3 linked regions of the Cricetulus griseus genome follow. The protein of the gene in region 1 binds, or shares a complex with, the protein of each later gene. Links are inferred from orthologs where the notes say so. Each region holds a gene or a part of one and is shown on either strand. Other genes may lie near its edges.

Region 1 (3,655 bases):
CCCCAGCCACTTGCCCTATAAAAGTTTGTTATTAAATGTGTTATATGGAAACACACAGTCATATATAACAGTAAAAACTGATATATATTGAATTGTAGACAATTCAATAAAAATGCTATTATATACCAAAGGGGAAAGACCTTTTTCTTTATTTTATCCCCCTCCCAGCAGGGTTTCTCTGTGTAGTTCTGGCTGTCCTGGAACTCACTCTGTAGACCAGGCTGGCCTTGGACTGTCTCCCAAGGGCTGGGATTAAACTTATGGGCCACCACTGCTCAGCTTGGAAAAGACTTCAACAGAGAGAATGAGCTCCTGTTATGTCCACCTCTGTGCATATTATAGGTCCAAATGAGAGAGAGGGTCTACAGAGAAGGAAAGCTAAGAGGTACCTGATTGTTTTCAGGGCTAAGACGACCGCCTGTCCCAGGAGTGCCTGGTATCTTTACTACAGTGGTGCTATTGGCCATGGAGCCTTGTGGAGGGGTGCTGGCTGGCTCTGGCTTTATAGATGAGAAATTGGAGAGGTTGATTAGGGCTGAGGGGCCAAACTGGTTCATAATCTGCCGAGCTTTGGACTTCAGCTCATAGAGTTTATCAAGATCCTGCTTCTTTTTGGAGCTGTGAGGACCAAGGCCAATCAGCTGGAGAAGGAAAATAGAGACACTGGAGTTACTCTAGAGACACCTGCAGGAGGAGATCTGTCAAGATCTGTCAGTCGTGAGTCTTTGGTGTATCCAGGAGGGTGATTACTTGATAGTGACAAAAAATAGAGTGAATGGAGAATATGCATTGCTTACACCTGGTTTTAGAGACCATCTTGTCTCCAAAATCGAACTGAAACAGTTCACAAAATTGAAATGAGGAAAAAGTAAATGAAATGAGGAATCTTGTTTTCAAAAATAAACTAGAATAAGCAAGACATTTTAAAGGAATTCATACAAGCAGAATACTGGGTTAAGTACTTACATGCATTATTTAAATATGAAATCATGTTAAATTCAAATAAATAGCACAGTCACATACTTAAAACTCAGTCACAAAGCTTAAGAAAATGATTAGTTCATTTTCAAGACATGTTGAAGCATTTCAAAACATGCTTAAATCCAAGGCCGGGCTCTGCCCAGGAAACACAACTTTTAGCAATTGTTAAAAGCTCTGCTTTACCATAAGGAACTTTTCCCCCTTTGTGTTTTAGCAATCTTGAAGTCATGCTGAGACCTTCACCTAAAGCAGCTGCAACTCCTATTAGAGCCATAGGCTGACTCTGTGAACATTGGCTGTGGTGTCAAGACCAGAAGCACATTCACCAAGTTCTGCCCACAGTGGCCTCAAGGAGTTTACTTACTGCTATCTGAGTGTCTAGATCTTTAATTACATCAGCAACAGCTGTAAGACCGGTGTAATGAGAGGCAGCCATTTTCAAAAGCTACCTGTAAACAAATAACTAGCATCAAGTACCACCCCTGCCACAGAAGTATTCCAGTTGTGTGGCAAGGTGCAACGTGACCAACCAGGATCCAGCAGAAGATGCAACTCAGTGGTAGAAAGCTTGCCTAGTATGTGTGAGGCCTTGGGCTTCATCACCCCATCAAGACAGTATTATAAAGTCAGGTGTGGCACGCTTTTAGTCCCAGCACTTGGAAGACAGAGACAAGGGGATCTCTGTGAGTTCGAGGACAGCCTGGTCTACAATGTGAGTTCCAGGATAGACAGCTGTTATACAGATAAACCCTGTCTCCAAAACAAACAAATGTTCTGCTTCTCCTGTTCTCTACCTCTCTTCATCACACAAGCAGAGGCAGATGGGCGGTGGCTGAACTCACTCTATTGACCAGGCTGTCTTGGAACTCACAGAGGTCCACCTACCTCTGCCTCCCAAGTGCTGGGATGAAAGGTGAGTGCCACACCTAACTTTATAAGGTGTGCTCCATCACTCCCAGAAACAAAAATCAGTATATTAAAAAGTTTGCCCACCAGGAATTGGTGGCGCATGCCTTTAAAGCCAGCACTCAGGAGGCAGAGGCAAGTGCATCTCTTTGAGTTCCAGGCAGGACAGGCTCCACAACAATACAAAGAAACCCTGCCTCGAAAAACAAAACAAAACCCCCCCAAAAGTTAAAACAAACAAACAAAAAAACAACAACAAAACCCAAAAAGTTTTGCCCATCTTGGTATTAACTCACTATGCTACCCATGTATTATGATGACTTTTTGTTTTTAAGATTTTATTTTTATTTATTATATATACAGTCTTCTGCCTGCATGCCAGCAGAGGGCACCAGATCTCATTCAAGGTGGTTGTGAGACATCATGTGGTTGCTGGGAATTGAACTCAGGACCTCTGGAAGAGCAGTCAGTGCTCTTAACCGCTGAGCCATCTCTCCAGCCCGATTCTTTTTTTTTTTTTTTTTTTTTTCTAAGATTTTATTTATTATGTATACAATGTTCTGCCAGCATGTATGCTTGCAGGTTGGAAGAGGGCAGTAGATCTCATTATAGATGGTTGTGAGCCACCATGTGGTTGCTGGTAATTGAAATCAGGACCTCTGGAAGAGCAGTCAGTGCTCTTAACCCCTGAGCCATCTCTCCAGCCCCATTCTTTATTTTTATTTCTTGTTTTTGTAATTGTTGTTTGTTTTTAGATAGGGTCTCACTCTGTTCCCCAGGTTGCCCTGGAAATTTACTATGGGACAACTGAACTCAAGAACAATCTTCCTGCTTTAGCCTCCCAAATGCTGGCATTATAGGCCAGAACCCTAAGACCCAGCTCATCCTTGGCTATATAGAGTTTGAAGCCAGAATGGGTTAGTGACACCGTCTCAGAAAAGACTGTAGTGGGCTGGAGAAATGGCTCAATGATTAAGAGCACATTTGCTCTTTCAAATGACCTGTGTTAAATTCCCAGCACTTACACCAAGTGATGTAACTCTGGCAGAACCCAGCACATCTGTATATAAACATATATTCAGGCAAAACAATAATACACATAAAAATAAACATCTGGGTGTGGTGGTGAATTCTTGGGCTTCATCCAAGCATCTAGGAGGCAGAGGCAGGTGATCTCTGAGTTAGAGGCAGCCTGGTCTACATAGAGTTCCAGGACAACCAGGACTTGGAGATAATATCCTGTCTCAATGCCCCTTCCTAATAATGAATAAATAGATATATAAATAATAAATAAGTACAAACAAATAAATATACAAACAAGATGCTGCTGTAGAGATGGCTCAGGGGTTAAGAGTACTTACTGCTCTTCCAGAGGACCCAGTTTCAATTCCCAGCACCCACATGGCAATTAACAAGTGTTCCAGGGGAACTGCCACCCACCCACCCATAGCAAAATACCAATACCAATGCACATAAAGAATATTCATATATCTATATGCTGGGCGATAGTGGCACACACCTTTAGTCCTAGCTCTTGGGAGGCACAAGCAGGCAGATCTCTCTGAGTTCAAGGCCAGACTGGTCTTACAGAGCGAGTTCCAGGATGCCAAAGTTCCAAAGCTACACAGAGAATCCCTGTCAAAAAAAAAAAAAAAAAAAAAACCATCACTCATTGGTGGTGCACACCTTTAATCCCAGCACTTGGGAGGCAGATGCAGGTGGATCTCTGAGTTTGAGGCCACCCTGGTCTACAGAGTGCCAGGATAGC
Region 2 (3,340 bases), on another chromosome or scaffold:
TAAATAAAATGATCAGCCCAGCCGGGCGTTGGTGGCGCATGCCTTTAATCCCAGCACTTGGGAGGCAGAGGCAGGTGGATCTCTGTGAGTTCGAGGCCAGCCTGGTCTACAAGAGCTAGTTCTAAAGCCACAGAGAAACCCTGTCTCGAAAAACCAAAAAAAAAAAAAAAAAAAAAAAAAAAAAAAAAAAAAAAAAAAAAAAGATCAGCCCAGGTATCTCATCATCAACTGAGGTACATTATAAAATAAGATAGAAAAGAATTTCTGCTATAACAAGATAAAACAACTAGGACTATCATACAGTGATGGATTCAGTATCATGGAGGGTATAAATCACAAACCCAGCCACATGTAATGGTACATTCCTTTAATTACCACACTCAGGAAGCAGAGGTAGACAGATTTCTGTGAGTTTGAAGCTAGCCTGGTATACAAAGCAAGTTTTAGGACAGACTACACAGAGAAACTGTCTTAAAAAATGTTTAATGTAAATAATAAATAAATCACAAACTCACATATTAGTGTGTTAAATTTTTCATTTTTTATTCCTTGTATCAGCAGATTAAGTAGGTGATATTTCCCCAACTACTGATTTAGAGATATTAAGAAGCACCAGTAAGTTTCACAGAGTAACATTCAGTAATCTCTTTAAATGCAATTTTAATCCTTATTATAAGCTAAATAGAACAATAATTTAATGCAATAAGCTAAGTATACACAAAGCCTGCATATCCTTGACTACAGAAATGGTTTGCACACACACACACACACACACACACACACACACAGGTTTAGTCAACTATACATTGTCACAATGGAAGTACTTATTATTTACGTAACTACACCACCCAAAATACCTGTCCTGACATCAGGGTTATAAGCTTTGCCATCCCTACTACTGAAAGCATTTATTTTCAGAAACTTTACTGTTACCAAGGAAGATGAGGTCCACTAACACTTAACAAATAGTAGTTTCTTTAAAAAAAAAAAAGTATTCTTTAGAAAATATTAAAATAAATGATCTACAAAGACAGATAAAGATTCTTACAAGAACTTAGTTCCTTAAAAGAAACACAAACCAGTTCATTCTCTGTAATAACTTCTCCTGCCATTGTCATAAAAACTTGAAATACATAAAGCACAAGCCTCAACTTTCATAAAGTCAAAAGAATATTTAGATTGCATATTATGCAGCTATAGTATATAGCTTGGAATACACAAGTCTACCTAAATACTACTTTACCTTTTTCAGATGGAACTACACAGTTGGCAATACTTTAAATTAGTAGTCATTAAAGCCTAGCAAAGAATTAAATATAGTCAGATAAAGACAGGCAATGAAAGGCTCAAATTATAAAGCTAAAATCGAATACCTCTTTCATTGCGTACCTAGCTATCATGATATTACTGTAGACAAGTTGTAATGTATGGTTTCCAAACAAAATATCAAAATTTCAGATATTACAAACAGTGTCAAGATCCATAGTTGGCTTCATCAAAGGCTTTTCTAGCCCGTTTCAATTCTTCATTCATAGTAAGTAAGTCTTTAACTCTAGCAAACTTCCTTGGGTCCTTTCGAATCAGGAAGACAATATCTTCAACTTGCACTCGTCCCTGTCTTCCAATCGACATTGCCTTGTGAGTCTATGACAAGGAAATATATAAATGGAGATTCACCAATACATAAGCATATAGGGTTCGGGTATATTTATTAGGTAAATATGCCTTACTTACAGTGCACTAGGCCAACCAGCAGGAAAGCAGAGCAAGTGGACACAGCAACGAGAAGAGAGCTTTCCTATGTGTGCCCCCGACTCTTAAGCTACCCTCATGTTATCCTGTCCATGCCCTATGTCCTTAAGACATTAAAACTACCAAAGTGAGCAGGACAAGTTAGCTGATACACACCTTTAACCCCAGCATGCAGGAGGCAGAAACAGGCAGATTTCTGTGAGTTCAAGGCAAGCCTGGTTTATATAAACATTTGTATATATCAAGTTCCTGGTTTATTGAGCAAGTTCCAGGCCAAACAGGATTACATAGTGAGATCCTGCCTCAAAAATAAATAATAAATACTAAAAATAACAAAATCTATCAAATTTGGAGATACTCCTGTTTTGTTTTGCGATATAGGTAGAGTTTTTGTTTTGTAGGGGATGAGGTGGTCTTGTTAAAGGTGTTCTTGGATGCTAGCAAATAATAACATTAGTTTAATAGCTTTGGAGGAAGGGAGGTTTATGGAGGCTAAATAGTAAGACTGCTTAGACCTTATATTCCAAAATCCATACTTGAAGACACATCTGTAACATTTATTGTTGTTTCTGAGACATCATCTCACTATATAACCTGGAATGCACTATGTAGACCAGCCTTGCCCTGAACTCAGGCCCACTTGTTCAATTCCTTACTGTTTATCTTTTGAGACAGGGTCCCTGTATATAGCCCAAGCTGGTCTCAATTGTAGCCATCCTCCTGCCTCTGCAACTAGCACATGTACCACACTACCCAGCTTTGTTCTTGTTTGTTGAGACAAGGTCTTGCTATGTAGATGAAGCTGATCTTGAAACTGGGGTCCTCCTGCCTCAGTCTCTTGAATGTTAACATGCTGAGATTATAGCCTCTCACACCTGGCTGTTTGTTAGTGTTTGTTTTTTTTTTGTTTATTGTGGGTTTTTTTTTTTTTTTTTGGTTTCATTCTTTCATTTTATTTTACTTTTTTAGATGGTTTCATTATGTAGCTCTGGATGGTCTAGAACTTACCATCCAGACCATAGACCAGGTTGGATTTTTTTTAACTTGTAGTGATACTCCTATCTGTCTCTGGAATTCTGGGATTGCAGGTATGATCCACTATGCCAGATTTTGTCATTTAATATGGTGCTGGGGACTGAACCCAGGGCCTCACACACATGCTAAGTGCATGATCTACCAGTACTACTGCTAATGTTTTCCTTCAGTGCTGCATTAAACCCAGGCCTTTACACATACTAGGCTTGGTTCTTCCACCAAGCTCAGCCTCTGCCCTTGCTGAGTAATTTTTTTCACTTTTATTCTGTAGTAAGGAAATAATCCAAAATAAGGGTGAACACTCATAACAACTAAATATAGCCACTCAGTAACCATATCCCTATTAATATATCCAAAAAAAGGAAAGGAAGAAATCCATAAAAGTGGTCATTCAAGATGTTAAACTCAGAGTTGGAGATGTAGCTTGGTGATCTGCATTTGCCAAGCATTCAAGAGAAAAAAAACCACCTGTAATAAATAACTTATACAAGAAGATTATGGTTAATCACAATCAGTGTGACAACCAATATGGTAAAACAGTTTAAAAATTGGC
Region 3 (3,655 bases), on another chromosome or scaffold:
AGGAGGCCAGCAGCAGGTGATGCTACCCGTCCAGGAGCTTCAGGATGCTCTCTCGTTCTTTCAGGGTTTTCCAGGCCTGGTCCTTTTCCTTCTTTGTAGGGGTGCGCTTCTTCTGCCGGGCAGCCATGATCTTGCGAAAGGCATCCATGACCTCATTGTCTGCCATGCGGACCCGCTGTCTCAGCTCCTGCCGGCTCACCTCCTCCTTTGCCAACCTATGGGGGCCAAGTATCATGGTTATCCAATCTCCAGTTATCATCCTCTTCCAAACTGAGCCTCCTCACAATCCCGGCTCTCATTCCCCTCTGCTTATTAGAATTACAGATGTGCACAGCTGCACTGAGCTTCTTCAATCCTGTGGGGATCTGACTCAGTCCCACTGATGGTGGAGCTGAAGGTCTCTAGGAAATCTAATCCTTGTTGCTTGGGCCCAAAGTACCTTGCCCACAGTCCAGTAGCTGGAGCACAGCAGGGCCCAGGGCTGAGCTTCAGCACCAAAACATTTCCACAGCAAGCCATACCTCTGGAACTACACAGCATTGTTTTTAATCTCGTTTGGTCCTACCCTTGCTGCTCCTTGCCCTTGAAAGGGAACTTTTTATTTTGTTGTTGTTTTGAGACAGGGATTCTCTGTGTAACATTGCTGGCTATCCTGGAACTCTTTGTAGACCAGGTTGGCCTCAGAGATCCGCCTACCTATGCCTCCCAAGTACTGGGATTAAAGGTGTGTGCTACCACCTCCCAGCTTGCTTGTCTTAGAAGAAAGAAGGTACACAAGACCCTAGCAGACAGTGGGCACCATGGTTTCTTTATCCTCAGATCCCCATAAAGCTCAGCAGCAGCTGCCCCTCCCCTCTGAATGGCGTGTCTCCTCCGACCACCTAAGAGAACAGGAGTCTCCTTCTGCCTTCTTCCTGGCCCAGCACCAGGTCAGACACAGTAAGAGCTAGCCAGGTAATCAAGAACCTGCTTTGTCAAGGCTCTAAGAGGAACAAGAAGTCTTGCTTGAGTGCTAACAAAAGGGCAGCTCCTACCAATGCCCTTCACATGTAATCTCTACCCTTGTCACCAGTGCAAGGAAAGTCAGATGGGAGTTGATATAAAATGAATGACACTATGACTGATTCTAAGACACTAGTAAGTGTGGGGTGACCAGCCAATCAAAGCCATAGACAGCTAAGAGAACATTAGCAACTCATATGTCTGAGCATACTGATATTCATTATTTTCTCTATGATGTTTTTTATGTATGTTATATGTATACGTCTTCATATTGCACATGTATATGTGCATGCATGTGGAGGCCAGAGGTTGATACTGGATCTTTCTTTATCATGCTTCGCCTTATTTATTTTTCCTGTAGCTTAGGTATTCACTAGAGGGTTATATGCCATGGTGTGCATGTGGAGGCTAGAGGACAACTTGCAGGAGTTGGTTTTCTTTCTCTATCATCTGGGTTTTAGGTTTTAGGGATTGAAATCAAGTGGCCAGGCTTGGTGGTAAGTGCCTTTACCCACTGAGAAATGGCCTATTCTGCTAGGCTTGCCTCTCTGCCCACCCAAGCACTGGGGTTACAGATATGTTCTGCTGTGGCCAGCTTTCATGTGGGTGCTGTAGACTGAACGCAAGAGGTCAGGCTTGGTGGCAAGCATTTTCCCCACTGCAGATCTTCCCAGTGCCTCTGTGGTATTTTGATTGAATAATACCATAAAGAAAAAGAAAACACAGCCAGGTAGTGGTGGAGGTAGCACATCCCAGCACTTGGGCGGCAAAGGCAGGTGGATCTCAGTGAGTTTGAGGCCAGCCTGGTCTACTGGGTGAGTTCCAGAACAGCCAAGGTTACACAGAGAAACCCTGTCTTGAAAAAAAGAAAGAAAACACACATTTAAAAAAAAAAAACAAAAGCAACTTAACACTGTAAATATTACTAAATTATGCTTATCAATGGAGTCAGGGCTGAAGAGATGGCTCAGTGGTTAAGTGTGTACTACTCTTGCAGAGGACTGGGGTTTAGTTCCCAGCACCTACATTGGGCGTCTGGCAAAAACCAGTAACTTCATCAACTGCAGGGCAGCTGACACCACAGACACCTGCACTCATATTCACAGACCCATCCATATGTCAGTTGTGGGTGCTAGAGCCCTGTCCCTGGACTTAGCATCCATCAGAGATCCAACTGGGGGATAGGGCTAGTCCCTGGCACAGTGCTCACTCACCTCAGCAGGTCATGCTTCTTGGTGCGGTTGTGTGCACTGAGTGCCTTCAGCTCAGCCTGCCGTTTGCGCAGCTCAGCGAGGACCTCATCCTCTGAGTCCTCAGCAGGCCGGTCCTCGGACTCCAGGAGGCCCTGTGCAATCAGCTCCTCCTTGATGCGGCTCTCCAAGGACTTGGTGTGGGGCACACTGTAGGCAAGGCCAGCACCTGAGCTCTGAGCGCCAGCTGGAGGGCCCTCAGAGGATCCCAGTCTGGCAAGGTGAACCCATATAGCCACACATATATGTTTCAGGCCTTGTTATGTGTGAGTTGCAATCTTTTATGATATATATTTCCAAGATTTTTTAAAACTATATGTAACTCTTAAATATAGTTTAAGTACAAATAGGATTACTCCTTTCCCCCCATTTGGTACTCTGTTTTAATTCTTTCATGTCAAGTATATTTCTGTAATGATTAGCAGTTACAAGTTATTTCTTATGCAGTTTTAGCACTCAACTAGCCATTCCCTTCAGCTGGACACTTGGGTTATCTCCAGGAAAGGCAAAGGTATGATCAAGTCTGTACTAAGCCTGTCCAGAATCGAGGCCAGCACTTCCATGTGCTGTGCAAACATCTGTATAGCCAGATGTCTGTGCATGGTCAAATGGCCCCAGCCTCTGTTTACAAAGCATGCCCCCCTAAGAAGACAGAGAGAAGCTGACAGTCACGCCCAGAGTGCAGATGGTATGTCACTCACCTGAAGGGTTTGTTCTGATTTCGGGGAGAGGTGCTTGCGCCATCAGCCCCTGATTCTTTCCCAGACATGTCAGGAATAGGAGAGTCCTCCATAGGGGAAATAATATTTTCCTGAAGACCAGAGATAGGTTAGAAGGAGGAAGCAATAGAATCCCTGTTTTAATGCTCCTCTCTGACATACACAGTCTTTATAGGCTAGATAGAAATAGTCTGCCATCTTTTCATCCCACTCATGTTAAAAAGCTTCCTCCAATTCCAGCACTGAGGAGGCAGAGGCAGGCAGATCTCTGTGAGTTCGAAGCCAGTCTGGTCTACAGAGTAAGTTCCAGGACAGGCTCCTGTCTCAAAAAACAAAAACAAAAAAAGCTTCCTCCAAAGCTTTGATCATTATAGAAATTCTTTTATTGAGGGGAGGGGAATATGGACAGCAAAAGAAGGGGACACAAGAGAAACAGTGACAAGGAAATAACCTAGCACTGTTTTTTCCTCCACAGCAGCTGAGCTACACTACATTTCCCAGGCTCCACTGCAGTCAGATGGACTCATGGGACAAATTCTTCATTGGAAAGTGATCTAAAAAGGTAAGGCTCCCAGTCACACCCAGGGCACTTCCTTCACACACTCCTCCTTACTCAATTTCTGAGGGCCTGGTGCGGTAAGACCAAGGTCATGATGAAAAGTCACACTAAACTAGAGTCTGCTG

What was found.
Region 2: Taf12 (region 1) and Taf13 share a complex: the UniProt entries of both Homo sapiens proteins name them as parts of the TFIID basal transcription factor complex. The link is inferred for Cricetulus griseus from reciprocal best matches to the Homo sapiens genes TAF12 and TAF13.
Region 3: Taf12 (region 1) and Tada3 share a complex: the UniProt entries of both Homo sapiens proteins name them as parts of the STAGA transcription coactivator-HAT complex. The link is inferred for Cricetulus griseus from reciprocal best matches to the Homo sapiens genes TAF12 and TADA3.

Annotation. Positions count from the first base shown.
Region 1 is NC_048595.1:20,968,447-20,972,101, forward strand, and holds part of Taf12 (transcription initiation factor TFIID subunit 12), read right to left. Parts: intron 3,472-3,655; exon of another isoform or gene 3,407-3,471; intron 642-3,406; coding exon 390-641; intron 1-389. UniProt on the Homo sapiens protein: The TFIID basal transcription factor complex plays a major role in the initiation of RNA polymerase II (Pol II)-dependent transcription.
Region 2 is NW_023276806.1:48,539,902-48,543,241, forward strand, and holds the end of Taf13 (transcription initiation factor TFIID subunit 13), read right to left. Parts: intron 1,645-3,340; coding exon 1,474-1,644; 3' UTR 519-1,473; downstream 1-518. UniProt on the Homo sapiens protein: The TFIID basal transcription factor complex plays a major role in the initiation of RNA polymerase II (Pol II)-dependent transcription.
Region 3 is NC_048601.1:31,429,453-31,433,107, reverse strand, and holds part of Tada3 (transcriptional adapter 3), read right to left. Parts: intron 3,534-3,655; exon of another isoform or gene 3,447-3,533; intron 3,064-3,446; coding exon 2,954-3,063; intron 2,403-2,953; coding exon 2,217-2,402; intron 216-2,216; coding exon 23-215; 3' UTR 1-22. UniProt on the Homo sapiens protein: Functions as a component of the PCAF complex. The PCAF complex is capable of efficiently acetylating histones in a nucleosomal context. The PCAF complex could be considered as the human version of the yeast SAGA complex.